Linked DNA regions of Nothobranchius furzeri. The protein of the gene in region 1 binds, or shares a complex with, the protein of each later gene. Links are inferred from orthologs where the notes say so. Each region holds a gene or a part of one and is shown in the gene's direction. Other genes may lie near its edges.

What was found. Proteins that work in one complex are often made in the same cells at the same time.
Region 2: cc2d2a (region 1) and b9d1 share a complex: the UniProt entries of both Homo sapiens proteins name them as parts of the tectonic-like complex. The link is inferred for Nothobranchius furzeri from reciprocal best matches to the Homo sapiens genes CC2D2A and B9D1.
Region 3: cc2d2a (region 1) and tmem17 share a complex: the UniProt entries of both Homo sapiens proteins name them as parts of the tectonic-like complex. The link is inferred for Nothobranchius furzeri from reciprocal best matches to the Homo sapiens genes CC2D2A and TMEM17.
Region 4: cc2d2a (region 1) and tmem107l share a complex: the UniProt entries of both Homo sapiens proteins name them as parts of the tectonic-like complex. The link is inferred for Nothobranchius furzeri from reciprocal best matches to the Homo sapiens genes CC2D2A and TMEM107.

Annotation. Positions count from the first base shown.
Region 1 is NC_091748.1:39,031,125-39,034,637, forward strand, and holds part of cc2d2a (coiled-coil and C2 domain-containing protein 2A), read left to right. Parts: intron 1-477; coding exon 478-563; intron 564-2,015; coding exon 2,016-2,117; intron 2,118-2,185; coding exon 2,186-2,269; intron 2,270-2,345; coding exon 2,346-2,549; intron 2,550-2,635; coding exon 2,636-2,789; intron 2,790-2,872; coding exon 2,873-3,009; intron 3,010-3,101; coding exon 3,102-3,233; intron 3,234-3,513. UniProt on the Homo sapiens protein: Component of the tectonic-like complex, a complex localized at the transition zone of primary cilia and acting as a barrier that prevents diffusion of transmembrane proteins between the cilia and plasma membranes.
Region 2 is NC_091752.1:49,448,082-49,452,096, forward strand, and holds the start of b9d1 (B9 domain-containing protein 1), read left to right. Parts: upstream 1-1,212; 5' UTR 1,213-1,401; coding exon 1,402-1,464; intron 1,465-1,588; coding exon 1,589-1,657; intron 1,658-2,662; coding exon 2,663-2,771; intron 2,772-2,847; coding exon 2,848-2,944; intron 2,945-3,034; coding exon 3,035-3,097; intron 3,098-3,774; coding exon 3,775-3,842; intron 3,843-3,914; coding exon 3,915-4,015. UniProt on the Homo sapiens protein: Component of the tectonic-like complex, a complex localized at the transition zone of primary cilia and acting as a barrier that prevents diffusion of transmembrane proteins between the cilia and plasma membranes.
Region 3 is NC_091744.1:77,713,003-77,716,638, forward strand, and holds tmem17 (transmembrane protein 17B), read left to right. Parts: upstream 1-1,286; 5' UTR 1,287-1,369; coding exon 1,370-1,484; intron 1,485-1,619; coding exon 1,620-1,723; intron 1,724-1,926; coding exon 1,927-2,040; intron 2,041-2,117; coding exon 2,118-2,261; intron 2,262-2,397; coding exon 2,398-2,475; 3' UTR 2,476-3,133; downstream 3,134-3,636. Other genes in the region: agbl2 (cytosolic carboxypeptidase 2), read right to left, coding at 3,148-3,316, 3,404-3,434, 3,506-3,636. UniProt on the Homo sapiens protein: Transmembrane component of the tectonic-like complex, a complex localized at the transition zone of primary cilia and acting as a barrier that prevents diffusion of transmembrane proteins between the cilia and plasma membranes.
Region 4 is NC_091745.1:78,310,944-78,315,182, reverse strand, and holds the start of tmem107l (transmembrane protein 107), read left to right. Parts: upstream 1-1,436; 5' UTR 1,437-1,743; coding exon 1,744-1,830; intron 1,831-3,463; coding exon 3,464-3,531; intron 3,532-3,604; coding exon 3,605-3,705; intron 3,706-4,239. UniProt on the Homo sapiens protein: Plays a role in cilia formation and embryonic patterning. Requires for normal Sonic hedgehog (Shh) signaling in the neural tube and acts in combination with GLI2 and GLI3 to pattern ventral and intermediate neuronal cell types.

The DNA of each region.
Region 1 (3,513 bases):
TCAAATCCTGTCATCTGAAACTACTTTCTCCTCTAGCTTAATGCTACGTCTTCAAGCAGGTGCACCAGAGCTTTTTTTTTACCCCAGTGAAAGACTTACAAGGCATTCATTCCTATTATGGGCCACTGCAAATGTATTAGTAGTATGGGTGAAGTGGACCTTTAACATTGTCCAGCTGTGACTGACTCACATGTTAGCACCAGCTCTGAATCAGGTTTCACCAGTAGTACAGGTATTTGAGTAAAGGAGGATTCAGCTCTCTCAACATTTTCCCTGTAGCTTCAGACATGAACAGACATTTTAATATAGTTTATAATGAGAAAACTGATATCAGAGAGAAAGAGGAGTGAACAACCACATTAGTTTTGATCAACAGAGGTATGCACGTCTGCTTGGCTCTGTCAGATGAATTAACAAGTAACACACAATGCTGAACAAAAATTGGAGTTATTGTTTCCCAATGTGCTTTTATTCAAGGTTCAGCAACCCCACAGCCTTCCAGCTCCGTGTTTTTAGACACCTTTGTGACACAGCACTTGCAGGAGAAGCTCAGAGCGGCACGGGTGAGTACTTTTTTGTTCTGGCATGCAAATACGTTGTTATTGTAATTAGGATTTAAATCATACAGTCACACATAGACATTTTAGTCTGTGCAGCATGGACAATCTACATACTTGGATTTAAAGCTGTTTGCTATCAGCTTTGTTAGATCCTGAGAAAGAGCAACAATATTAGCATATGAAGCTATATCATGTATAAATATCCAGGATATTTATACAATCGATAGAAGTTCCTACACCAACTGTCTTGGTCTATATTTAATCCAAAGATTAATATTTAATTTAAGAAATTTTATTAAACAGAAGACTTAATGGAATCTTTGCTTATTCAATAACCAAATGTACACCACTCTGTGTTTCATTTCAAAGAAGAGTCAGGTTTAAAAAGTTAAGAATTTATTACTAATAATTTAAAGATGACCATTTGTAACAGCTTTGATATTAAAACTTGGTATTAAAAGCAACCTGTGTCTGGGTGAAAACTAAAGTGGAATGCGTGGATGGATTCTCAGAGTTTTCTTTCAGAGAGAGAAACACGTTGTGGGTGAAAGAGTTGTTGCAGCTAACTGAGTTGTTTCTTAGAGAGAACAGCGTCGGACGCCATCTGTGTTCCACCTCACCCAGTTAGACGACCCTCTGTGTGGATCCGGAGGTCAAAGGGAGGATGTTGTCAGCCTCTGGGTACTCGGTCCGGTAGGGGAGACCCGAGTGGTACCGACTCTCTGGTCCAAGAGTTGTCGCAGGGTACACAGTGTTGAGCTTGCGTCTGGCTTAACTCTGAAGGAGTTTTGCATCCGCTGGTGCAGGTGGTGTTTATTCTGAGCGATTCTATCGGCGTGACAGGTGGAGGCTTCGGGCGGCCGACCCTTATCCTCGTGGAACTCTCGTGCCACGGAGAGACTTTGGTTGGTTCAGGACTGAACTTCAACTGAGGAGTTTTTGGTTTTATTAAAACTCAGGACACGCCCTCTCAGAGATAGAAAGCTTTGGTTATGGAGCAAAGACGTGTGAGGTGCAGTTACCTTTACCCTGCATGGTGTGTACACGTGTACTTGACCTTCTGGTTACTGATCAAACATTACTGATTATCATAAACAATAATTATTATTATTAACCAAAGAATAATAAGTCATTTCAGTAATGAAATACATTTATAATGAACCATGATGATTATGTATGAACCTTGAAATAAACAGTGTAAAGAGTTTATTAAAAATGATTATTTTAAATCTTGAAGTGTCCTTCGTCTTGGACGGAACAGCAGACAGAGAAAAGATGGTTTTTAGCAGACTTTACGCCTCCTGTGATGGATAAGCTGTGGACTGAAGTTCAGCCAGGACAGCGTGACCCAGCTGGGGAAGTGTGTGTGACCTTTGGGTCACAAATGAGGCCATTCATGTCGCTACATGTGCAAGGGACCCTTTTGACACATCACGCCTGGATCTTGTGTTCCAGTCTAAAGGAGAGAAGCTTCAACAGCTAGAGGCTTCTGTACAGTCACCCAGTCGACTCCAACAGCTCAGAGACAGAGACACCGTGACGAGGTTTGACACAAGGGTGAGGTCAACCACAAAAGAACGCTGGTTTCCAAAATAGCTGGAGAGATGAATTATTATTTAATTTAGCAGGTTGATCCAGTCGGTGCAGGAAGACATGATGACCCTCCGGTTCTTCACAACCGGATCAAGTTCAGAGAGGCTGCAAGAAGAGTAAGACACTTAGATTCAGACTGTACAAAAACACTTGTATGGAGTTTTATAATTACCATTAATATTGTACGTGCAGGTGAGAGACCTCCCAACGGCTGAGGAGTCATACAATTTCTTTACTTTCAACTTTGAGCCTGATCGTCCGAATGAGAGGCTCAGCAGAAAACGGCAAATACGAAGAAAATCTGCAGAGGAGGCCAGAGATGAGGAGGAAGGAAAGGCAGCTGAGGTGGAAGAAGATGCCGGAGGGGAAGATGATCAAGATGAAACTGTAAACCAGGTACCACATCAGTGAGAGGATTGTGCTCAGATGATTATTTTTACTTGTTCTAAAACATTCACTCTGGTTTTCTGCACCTGCTTAAGAGCGATGAAGCTCACCTGGTTCAAAATGCAGATGACTTGTTTGTCATTGATCATTCTCCTCAAGACTTCCTGGTAGTGAAGAAGGCTGAATATGTCAGTTACCACACACGTATTCAGCAGGAGAGTGAACTGTTCACACCGAGCTTTCGAACTGGTAAAACATGTGATTCACACTGGTGACGTACAGCCGGCTGCTCGTTACCTGGAACCGTGTCTTTATGATTCGTTGTGTTGCAGTGCCAGCTTCGGTCAAACTGCCTGAAAACATGAAGCCTCGCTTCCTGGAGGAGGAGGGTCTCTACGTGGGAAAGAGGCCCGCCATATCTCTGACCAATGAGAACATTCTAGAGAACCGCCTTTTGAAAATGGACGAGGTGTCAGCTTGCTGCTCTGCTCAAACAAATAACTGTCCTCATTTTGATGTTAATATTCAAACGTGTTTTTGTGATGTTTGTTTCTCCTGAAGGGAAGGAAGTGGTTTGGAGATGATGGGAGGATCATCACTCTGCCTGACCCTGTGAAAGAATCGTCCACGCGACCGCCACTGGCTGACATGGAGGAGGACCTTCATCCTGCACTGCAAACTGTTTACCGGAGGGTAGTTTTAGTTACCAAGAAATGAAACCGCAGGGTTAATAAAAGGAAGATTTTTCATTTTTGCTGTTTTTATTAGGCTTCCCTTTAGTAAAGATTTATTCCTATAAGTAGGAATAATAGGAGTCCATCCGCTGTACTGGCAGGCTGTAATTAGATCATTCTTGCTAACGGACAGGGACAAAGGGCAGATTTAGAGAAAATGCAACGCATTCAGAATCTTTTAATATACAAATGCTTCTGTAGTTTAATTGATCTCATCTTTAATCATAAACACACAAACA
Region 2 (4,015 bases), on another chromosome or scaffold:
AAGGATCACTGATTGGCCTGACCAAGAGTTGTTTAGGCCACAGAGTGTGGGTAGACCGACCTGCAGGGTAAAATATTTTTGAACCGCATTGGTTTGTCTAGTTTTCTAGGCTTATGCTCTCAGAACTTGCCTTCCCTGTCTTCCTGTCATAGATTCAACAAGGTGTTGGAACCCGTCCTCAGAGATTCTGGTCCATGTCATCCCACTTTTACATCCATGAGGGGAATCTCCCATTCCACCACATCCCAAAGATTCTGGACCAGACTGAGATTTGGTAACTGGAACCCATGGTCATGTTCCAGATCCAGTTAGAGATTATCTAATCTTTGTGACATGGTGCATGATCCTGCTGGAAGTAGCCATCAGAAGATGGGTCCAAGTGGTCAGAAAGGGTTAGGCTAGATTTCTAAATGCATCGAGTTCCTGCCATATGATCGCGAAGATCAAAAAAGAGCTGGAGGTGAAAAAGTGATACAGGTGCTGAGCTTGGCAGACAAAATGGGAGATAAAAGGAAGCAGGTGCAATAAGAGCTGCTGTTTATGGAGCTGCAAAGGTCAGAAGACTTGGGGTGGGCCCTGGAGACAGCAGGAAGCACTGTGTGGGAGAGAGCTGAGAGAAGAGCAAAAAAAAAAAGGTTGCTGGGTATGAAACAGCTGAAAGAAAGAGCTGTTTTTGTCACATCTGAAACAAAACACAGTATTTAGACACACGTGCCAGAGGGGTTTACATACTTTGGAATGCAGATTTTTTGGTTTCATTCATTTCTGATTTTCAAGCATGTGGCGCAGTAGGAAAAGCAGACATCCATGTTTATATACAGCACTGGAGGTGTCCAGTTAGCTGGAAATTTTAAGTTAGGCTTCTTGTTTTGGATGTTGTTTTGTTTCAGTTATTGTTGAACAGACATTGCAGTCCTTTGGGCCTACAAAACAATAAAACGATGGTTGAGAAATAACATTTTCAGGGCTGGTAATAAGGTTAAAAAACGATTTTCAAACATGTTTGGTCGTGAAGTGATTTCAGTCGTGAATGAGAACGAACCTGCATTTTTAAAAGTCAGTGTATTTGATTTTGCTACCCTCTAGTGGACGCCTAGACAATTAAACCAGAGTTTTTATATTGTTTCTCCGCCTTCTTTTCTCCTTTTAATAAACTTCGGGTGTTTATAAAAATAAGTATTTTGACTGAATTTCTTGAATTACTTTTTGCTCTATTTAAAATTAATTTTAACACGTGATGGCCCAATATCACCAATAAGAATTGCGTTTAATTTTATCCAAACCGGTAGCCATAGGGAGGAGTAAACGTTGCCTTAGCAACAACCTCGGATCGCTTCAGACTGACCAAATTAGCTCGACTTATTTAACAGACTTTTACTTTCTTGAACCTCTGGAGTCACGATGGCAACAAACAACCCGAGCGTGTTCCTCCTCACGGTGAACGGGCAGATTGAGGGAGCGAACGTAAGTCGTCTTTTTAGCTAGTTTTAGCTTAGCTGCTAGCGTTAGCATTAGCAACAATGGCTCGTTTGGTGCTTCATCCGGGATGTTCCGGGTTGTTTATGGTGATGTTTGTCTTTTATTTCAGTTTCCAGAGCATGACAATCTGTACTGCAAATATTGTTACGTGTACGGCCACGACTGGGCTCCAACCACAGTGAGTATTACAACCATTAGCATTTAGGATGAAACATGAAGTATGCTTGTTGGGTACCACTTTACAATACTAATACATTTATTATAGTGATGTTATTAATGTTTTCAACGTTTTAAAGCCATTAAGTGTTTATTATGCACGAATTAAGGGTGAGAATGAGACTAAACTGGCCGGATTCTTGCCGGTATACTTCTACTAGACTGTATGTATTACACAGATCAGACTGCTATATAAACAATTTATTAGCATATTATAAAAACATAACTATCACATGACGTCAAAAGTGTAAAAAACATGTAACTTTCTGAAATGTTTTAATATAGAAACTAGAGGAAATATATGGGTGATCAGATATGGCTCACTATTGGGCAAGATGTCTCTTTTCCACTCTTCGTTCATGTAAAATAAACGTCTTGGGTTCTGAGAGCACTTATTGTGCATTTTTAATTTTCATCTATCTGTTCTGGATTTGTAAGACCTCAGAAATATATTATTTAAAGCAAATACTAACTGATAATGGATTTTTTTTAGCTCTAAATTAAAAATAATTAATTACGTTTCCTTGAGTAATAATACAATTTTGTAAGATATAAACAAAATGATATCTCAAGGCTTTTTCCACATATGTGGATGCTGTGTTTACAGATGGGTTCATAACAATAAACCTTATTGTTAAAGATGTTCAATATGCTTTTTTTTACGGATAATACTACGTTTGAACACGAACCCACACAGATGCAGACAGTAACAAACGAAACCTCAGATCAGCCATATTTTGATGTGTTTGAGGAGTTTGATGTATAATGTGAGCATGTTATGCAAAGGTTGTGTCATTCAAACAGTAAAAAAGATAACTCAACGATGTTACATTTTAATGCCAATATCGGACGATGGTATTGCCCAATAACGTCAGACGTGACTTTCAAGGATACAGAACAGGGTTTATAGATAGTTAATGCAGCGGTGGCTGGATGGAGTTGTGTTGTAACGAATGTGACTCTCCAGGGACTGGAAGAAGGAATAACTCAAATAACCTGCAAAAACAGTCAGACACAGAGATTAGTCTGGAACTTTCCTCTGGAGACGACGTTTAAGAGCACAAATCCTTTTGGGTGTGAGTAGATCACAATTTCATCATCATCATCATCATCATGTGTGACTCTTTAGGATTAACGCCGTTTGTCCCCCAGGGCCTCAGCTGGTGGTGAGTGTGTACGGACCAGATGTGTTTGGTAACGATGTGGTCAGAGGCTATGGAGCAACGCACATCCCCTTCACACCTGGACAGTCAGTATTACTTTCATGTTTGACCTAAAAGCATACAGAATGTGTTACTTCGGTTTGAAGATACAGATCTGAATGTTTTTCACTTGTCAGACATAAAAGATCCATCCCCATGTTCGTTCCCGAGCCCACGTGGAGACTTCAGAAGTTCACAGGGTGAGATCGGTCTCCTTAGCTGTTGGAAACCCGTGATCTTTAGAGGAACAGTAAATATTTCATCTTCCTCTCATGTGGAACGCAAGCTTCCAACACAAACACACGTTTTAAAGGTTCATTTTTGACTAATCTTTGTCACGTTTGGATACTTTAGATTCACACTCGGGCTTGTTTGATGTTGCTCTCAGTCTTTTTAGTGTTTTTCTTTTCATTTTTACCATGAAAACTGAATATTAATGTGATTATTATTAGATCTGATGGAGTTTTTTGCCATTTTGAGGAGCGTTTTGTGTAAAACTTACTAATTATCTGGTCAGAGAAACAGACTGTGCATCCTAGAGGACTGATGAGCCACATCCAGGCCTCTAAATGTCATAGATCGCCATGTGAGGTCATTTCACTGCTGTCAGGTTCTCATCACATAGACATTTTAGCAGAAATATGAATAAATTCCTGCAGGACCTGACCCCTGATGCACCAGAAATGCTAGTTTATTGGGGATGTTTACATTTGTAAAGAATGTGATGAACCACAGTGAGCTTTAGCAGACCTGTGCCGTTTTAGGACAGCAGCAACTGGGACTAGCCATTAGCACGGCCTTCGTGAAGGATGCAAATTATTCAGGAAGCTGTGAACTGTTTCAGAGAAACACGCTAAAAGATCCTATTTCTGTTCAGCTGGCTGCTGGGGCGGCGGCCCGAGTACACAGACCCTAAGGTCGTGGCCCAGGGTGAAGGCAGAGAAGGTTAGTGGTGCTTTTTCTTCTTTTACCTTTCTAGAATAAAACTTTTAACATATATATATTTTTCCGTTTCAGTGACAAGAGTTTGTTCCCAAGGCTCTGTAACCGTCTCCTTTCACATCATGAGTAAAGACATGAAGAAGATGGGCTACGACGTGGGACCGTCACACGTCCAC
Region 3 (3,636 bases), on another chromosome or scaffold:
ACAGTTGTAAACACCTCTCGTCTCCTTCAGGACCCAGTAGCTGTTCACACAGTCCATGCAGAAGTCCACATGTCCACAGTAAAGAGGGTTCTTCATCAGCTTTGAACACATGTAGCTGGACAGAGAATCAGCTGCCTCTCTTGTTGCAGCCATCCTAGTTTCTGCTAGAGCGGGAGTGGCTTCACACACAATCAGTAATTTTCATTTTCTCTTAAAGCAAAAAAACAACAACTATGAAACAGGTTTTTTCCTCCTCCTGGTGTTATTTGCCTGACTTGTATAACTAAAAAAAACTTACTGAGCATGGTTCCCATAAGTATGGAAGCCCATTCCTGCCACTCTGATTAAAAAAATGTATCTCATAATTATGACTTACCTATCTCATAATAACAAGACACAATCTCATTATTTAGGGATAGCGTCTCATAATTATGAGATACTATCTATTCATTTCAGCCCCACATCTCATCACGTAGGGTGGAAATTAATCATTAAATGGTATGAATGGTTTGATTAATTAAATTTCATGAACTATTTTTTACTGATTCAAGACTTTGTTAACCCTCCCACTGTCTTTATGGGTGACCCCGCGAGGAAAGTTGACCATAAAGCAGGATTGATGGTTTATCCCTTGAGGTCCACGTGGCAGGGGTGAGGTGGTGCTCACTCCTCACCCCTGCCACGTGGACCCAAGGGATAAACCATCAACCCTGCTCAATGGTCAACTTTCCTCGTGGGGTCACACCCATTAGGACAGTGGGAGGGTTTAAATATGTGCACCAAATTTTACTGGTGCAGAGAGGGAGGGAACTAGACAACACCTATTGAATACATACTATTTTTACATACACATTTTTTGCAGAAAGCCACAATTTTGTTTCACTTAAAACATTGTCAAAGAGAATCAACAGAGGGTTCGATAGAATGTTCGAATACTAAAATGTTCGATAGCTGCAACCCTAGTATCACTATAATGAGATAGCTAGTAAAAATTATGATGCTGTCTCATAGTAACTAATTATTCTGAGACATAAAGCCATATCAAATGCTATCTCATAATAATGAAATGAGATATTTTTTAATGAGTAGCGTTAATCAGCTTCCATAAATATTATTTGAGCTACACATTATACTCTCCCCCCTATCTAGTCTCGCTTTTTAAATTTTTATTATCAATGTAGTTAAAATCTGGGAAGTTTTGAAAACGCAAAAGGAGACACGTTTTGCTTCTGGCCTTTCACTTTCTCTCACCCCCACTACCATCAATGGTTACCATGGAAACGACGGTGGCTTTCACGACGGAGCTAGTAGGAAAAAGCGGAAGTGTTTCTCCTCTGGTCATGTTGTTTTTAGCCTGATTTTCTTTGCAATGGAGCTGCCGGAGACAGTTAGGAGGCGCTTAGAAGATTTTTCTCGGAATGTTTTATTCGACCAGACTCGTAATGAGCCGTTCTCAAAACACAACGACTCGTTTATACCTCACGGTAAAAAAAAAAAACAAAAACACAAGCTAACTATGAAGTCGAGTTAGCATGGATGTTAGCATGGATGTGTGTAGCCTTGTTACTTTACCATACCGATTTTAGTTAGTTCCCCTCATTTTTTTTGTATGTGTTTAGACAAACGGGTTCTGTCCAGCCTCCAGCTCCAGATGTCTTTGTACTTTAACACGTGGTTCTTCCCGTTCTGGTGGATCAGTGAAGCTGTGATGCTTCACCTCAAGGTACGAGGTTGGTGGATGGAAGCCGCGAGCAGAAAACCCAGAAAGAAAGAAAAATCCCAAATATCTAAGCTAGATTTAGGATACTTTGGTGCTTAAGTATGGATATGTATTAAACTATAGCAATTCATTTTAGAATCAGATTTTTCATGTATGTTTTGAAGCTTCCAACACAACAAGAATGCTGATGGTAGTTGTTCTTGCAGTATCCTGCCCTTCCAAATTACTACAAGTTTGTCCTTGTGACTGTTCTTCTACTGATGACTCTGATTGAGGCCATCAGACTTTATCTTGGTTACTCTGGAAACCTGCAAGAAAAGGTGAGACCATCTCAGATGACATGATACAGGTGCTGAATGCAGGGTGGGGTTTGAATGTAATTTCTGATCTGTGGAAGGTTCCAGAGTTGGCCGGCTTTTGGCTGCTGAGCATCCTGCTGCAGTTTCCACTCATTCTTTTTCAACTTTTTAATGAAGCCATAATCATACTGCCCTTGGAGAGAGGTGTCCACATAGTTCTTGCCATATTTATCCTCACACAGGTATGACTGGATTCTCAGCTCCATTTTACGTGGCAAATGCACCTAAATACACATGTTATTGTGTTTTCTCAAATTTGAGATCAAGTAATTGTGACTGATTGTAATCTGTTTTTTTTTTGTTTTCTGATTGATCCAGGCTGTCTTTGGTTTTGTGGCCCTGCGGGAAATGGTTAGACACACAGGAAGCCAGTTTCATCTCCAACAGTTTGACTGACGTCCACATATGTTCTGGTGTTCCATTTGATCAGGATTTATTCTTACTTCATACCTCCCAGTCTCAAATGACAAAAACTATGTATTTGCATATAGGATTTGGTACACTTTCTTCACACAATTTTAAATTTAATGCTAAAAAATAATAGAAAATATTTATTTTTGTATTTTGTTCCACTTGTATCATTGCTTTTGTAAATTTGAAGTAAATCATGTTTACTTGACTCACTCTGTACTGTTAGTTAGCATCTGGTTTAGATTTGTTGACCATTTAGTTATTTTTTAATTACAAAAGAAATTTTTGTACAAAGTTACCGACATTTACGCTGCTCTTTGTTCAGGAGCTTTTTGCTTCAGAGGGACTGAAACGTTCTGACCAAAACAGAAAGTTTCAACAAAATTCATGAAACACCCAAGTGCTTTATTTTATTTTATATTTTTTACAACATTTATTTTCATGTACTGAAAATATTATTTGAGAAATCATGAGATTGCATTAGAATAATCAGAAGAATTAAAGCATGTTATTGTCACAAGACGAAGAGATAAGTGAGATTTGGTATAAAACGTATGTGTTTTTCTGTTAGATCTTCCCAATGAAGCATCATTGTCACAAAAATAACTTGTTCTATTAAAATGCAGCTGAACTTTGAGAAGAATCCTGGCACCCGTTTCACTGCTTTGTCTTGATTAGGTTTGTGTTTGATGTGGAGGACGCCTGAAGACAAGATCTGTTTCTAAAACGATGCCGACTGCTGGTATTGGTGGAGGTGAAACTCGTCAGCGGCTGGTTTTTTGGAACAACAGCTGGAGCCATGCTGGTAGACAAAGATGGGGGACATCTGCCATGAAAGCAACACAGCATACAAAAATTATGAACACACAACACACCCTTTTGTAATAAACTATAATCTATCCATGAAGTTTACCTGCCAGGTGCTGCAAAAGGAGATGTCAGCCCTGAAAGAAGAAGGTGGTTCGCATTAGGCAAAAACCGATGGAGACTTTAAGCTGCTGTTCAAGAAACAAACCTCTGCAGACTTGAGAGTGGGAAAGAGATTGGCGCAGAGGGAAACGCTGGTGCTGCGCAGAGGGAATGAAAGTTGGAGGAAGTGGAAGGAGAGCACTCAGGTGTAGTAGCTGAGAGGAGCATTTCCACTGT
Region 4 (4,239 bases), on another chromosome or scaffold:
TGTGGATGTGGGAGAGGTCGAAAGAGAGAACAGACAAAAAGACCTGAGTCAGAAACAAATGCATGAGGTGTTTATCTGAAGCCTCTTATGTTCGGCCTTGTCAAGTGAACAGAGTAACTGTGTAAAGTTAGAATAACCAGAAAGAAAATATGTAACGAAGTTAGCTCACATTTTCTCTCAAATGTTTAACAAACAATAAAAATGTTAAATTCACGAAAAAAAGCATGATGAAAATCAGTTTCCGTGGACGTGGTGGCTCTTTTCCATCACTGCAGCTAGAGGGCGCAGCATCCCGTTTCTATGACAACCAGCATCATCTCTGTCTTTTCGTGTGCACGGCCCAACGCCTCTCGTGCTATTTTCTAACATATTTAAATTAGTCCAACAGTAAAAAAATCAAACGCATCAACTTCAGCTTCCACGTTTTAAATGTTGTTTTGTTGTTATTTACACAGTGCCAGAGCTTTACTGTGACGCTGATATCATGTCTCCAAACGGAATTAGCACGCTCCATCATCACAGCTGGACACATCTGTATGCAGATGGCTTCATATCTGAAACATGGGGGGAAATCCGCTAAAACATCCAGACTGAAACTGCACAAATGGCTGAAGTGACTAATAAAGCCAGCGTCATACTCACGTTGATGCGAACCAGCGCGTCCATGATAGAAGTAAAGGTTTGGAACTCCGACTCGGCCATGATGCTTTCTCGATTTAAGCGACTCAAAAGGATCTCCTGGAGAAAACCCCGGCTGGTTGTCTTCTTCTCCTGGCCGCGAGGCAAAGCCCGGGCCTTGGCTGGTGCCGCTCCGCTGCTCACGCACGCTGGATCGGTTCAGTCTGCCTCGGGGGAAGAGTCCACTGGTGGGATGGGGGTGGGAAATCTCTGGCTCAGACCATCTAACAGAAACACATTCGTTTCTTATTGCGCTGTTTTGTTTTACAGGCACGTTTATCCTGCCAATTCCAATTAAACATGCGGTTGTTGTTTGTCTTTTTAAAAATAAAACCGTTTTATCCAACAGCGAACGGATCTGGTGGCCCTTTCTATTTCTTTCATTTTGTCTTGTTTTTTTTTTCGGGGAACCTGAATTTTCGGGTAGTTTTAAGCATTTTTATGATAAAAATGAAAAGACATCAGGTGTTACCATCAGATCGCAGTATTGATGAATAAAAAAAGCAAATAAATAAACAAATAAATAATAAATAAATAAATAAATAAATATCCAGCTACACGTCAAGCTACACCTCTTTTACTAACTCTGACCAGGAAAAATGAAACGCGCTGACTACCCACCGTTACTAAATAAGATGTTTGGGTTTCTCTGTTTTATATTATTTACTGCTGATTAAAAACTCTTTTACGTGACGCGTTCATGGTCAACGCGGAACCGTTTAGGTGTTCGTTTTTTTGTCCGGTCATTAAAACCGTATGCACATTGTCCGTGGTTGTTGTAGCAACCGTTAGTTGCGTCACAACGTGAAGTTTTTGGCTCTGTTAACGAACGAGACACAAAACTAAGCTATAGACTTCGCGAGTTTTTAAACAAACAAATGAATCAGCTGGTTTATGTCATTAGCCGCAAGATAAACAGATGCTAAAGTGTTCGTTTAAAGTTAGCACATTTAGCTACATGCTAGCCTAGCTTACTGAGTGGTTTCCGTCGCAGTAAACAAAAACCTTTTACTCTTTTTTTTACTCACGAGCTTTTAGAGTTTTACTTTGCTGATTAGGATCACCATGTCGGCCATCAGCAGCCTTGTTCCTGCTCGGTTTCTCACCATCACAGCTCATCTTGTCATTGTTATCACCATCTTTTGGTCAAGGGTAAGAAAAAAATGGTTTATCTTTAATCTGATTTCTTGTGCCTGATTTTATTTTCATAATGGAGAAAACTTTATGGGATTTTAGATCTGTGGTTTTATTAGACGTTGCTGTTATATGAAATACCACAAAGGTGAACACACAAACACATTGTTAGAAATTCTGCTTAAACATCAAAGGTAATTAAAACATATTCCTTGTTGTGTTATAAAACGTCATTTAAGTTCCAGGAAGTGTCCTCATTGACCCCTAACCAGCATGTTCTGGTTGTTTCCCTGCCCAAACACACCTGATTCAATGGTTGAGTCACCTGTTTAGCATGATTAGGTCTGCAGAAGCTGTTAATCACCTCTAGGGTTGTCACGGTGTGAAAATTTAACCTCACGGTTATTGTGACCAAAATTATCACGGTTTTCGGTATTATCGTGGTATTGTTTTAAACGTGTTACATTTTCAGGAAACTAAATAAACCCTGTATATCAGGAAAATATTGTCCTCAGTTTGTGTCTAAATTTTGCCTAAAATGTGTTATTTTGTAATTATGTTGTTTATTTGTTTACATATTTCCCCTTAAGTCTTTAAAATACCAATATTTGCCCATAACTTTTCTTATTTTATGTCTGTTTGATGTCATCATTTTAAAAATATTAGACCAGATGATACTCAGTACTCAAGTAGCCTTCTAATCAGATACTTTTTACCCTTACTTGAGTAATAAACCCTATATCAGGAAAATATTGTCCTCGGTTTGTGTCCTTCCAGTGAGCTTTGCAGATGTGGGAAAATGGCATCAGGCAGTAATCGTTGTTAAATTCATAATTATTCTCGGAGAGAGACCAACTCTTATCTGCCCCTGGGAGCCCCGTAATGCATAGCGTCATTTCAACATGGCGGTGTCCGCGACACGGTTTATATGCAGGTAGCGGCGCTGCGGCTGCTTTATATAGCGACTCGTTGCGTTCTCCCTCAACCCAAATCCTCGGATCACGCATTTTAGCTAAAGCGCTAACGTTAGCTTGCCTTGCGTTGACTGTAGAGTTGTGGGTGATGGTCACGCAGATGTGTCATGAGATTTGAAGCGTTGCTGCCTTTCACAGACACTTTTTCTGCTCGTGCTGCAAACAGGATAGCCGTCTTCTATCAGCTTTCCCTCGGCATTCTTCTGGTATAAAAAAATGCCCGTACTTCTGACTTTGTCTTCTTAGAGCGATAATAAATGTCCTGAGTGCTGCCGTCTCCTCCTTTGTCCGTTATTTCAGCTTTAGCTTCAAGAAAGTTTTGGTTGTAAACAACAAAGTGCGCATGTGCCGCCGGCAACTTCAGCAGATGATACGGTGGCTGGTAAGGGTCACCGCGCCTACACCGCAGCCACGGTAATCCACCGAGATAATATAGTTTTTAAAAAAACAAGACGGTTATTATTATTGTCAACTTTTTTACCGGGGTTTACCGCTACACCGGTTACCGTGACAACCCTAATCACCTCTTGGTTAAAAACAGCAGAGCAGAGAAACCACTGAAACATGCTGGATAGGGGCCCTCGAGGTGCAGGGATGGACACCACTGCTCTACGGTCAACATCACATCCAGATTATTCAGCCCTTGAAATAATTTGCAATTGTTTTTCTTTTTATAGGAAAATAATGTAAAAGCATGTTTACCACTGGATTTCACACCAGAGCAGTATGATACCGAAGACAAAAAGTGAGTAGATATGTATGTAACACACTCGTATTATCAGGTTCTCGGATTAAATGATCTCTTTTGTTCCCTCCAGGCTGGTGGTGGCGCTGGCAGTCACACTTGGTCTGTTTGTAATCGAGCTGGCTGGCTTCTTTTCAGGAGTGTCTATGTTCAACAGCACTCAGGGTCTCCTGTGTATCCTTTACTCATCCTTAATGAAATATATATATATATATATATATATATATATATATATATATATATATATATATATATACATATATGACCTTTAATATTCAACAGTAAAGCGACTTCTGGTTAAGGCTGTAACACAAAGAACACGCAGCAGCAGCAGCTAGTGGATAACTAGCTTAGCTCTCTCCCACTTGGTCGGTTCTCTCTAAAAGACAAACGGAATAGCTGAATAAAACCCAAATTACTATAAAATAAAGGTTTGTTATAGGTTAAAGAGTAAGGATGAGTGAATTTGTTATTAAAAAGCTAGTCACTCCCAAATTAACTTTTTTTTTTGCTGATTAACTATATAAATGAGTGTCAATAGTTTTGCTAAGAAATACACACACACACACAGGCTCACAACGACACTGTGACATCATATGGTACCAGCTAACGTTCTAGGGTACCTCTTAGCCAATAGCGATGGCAGATTTAAATTCAAATGCAGTGCAGAGTTTTTACCTGACAACGGCACGACACTGACAGTTTTAG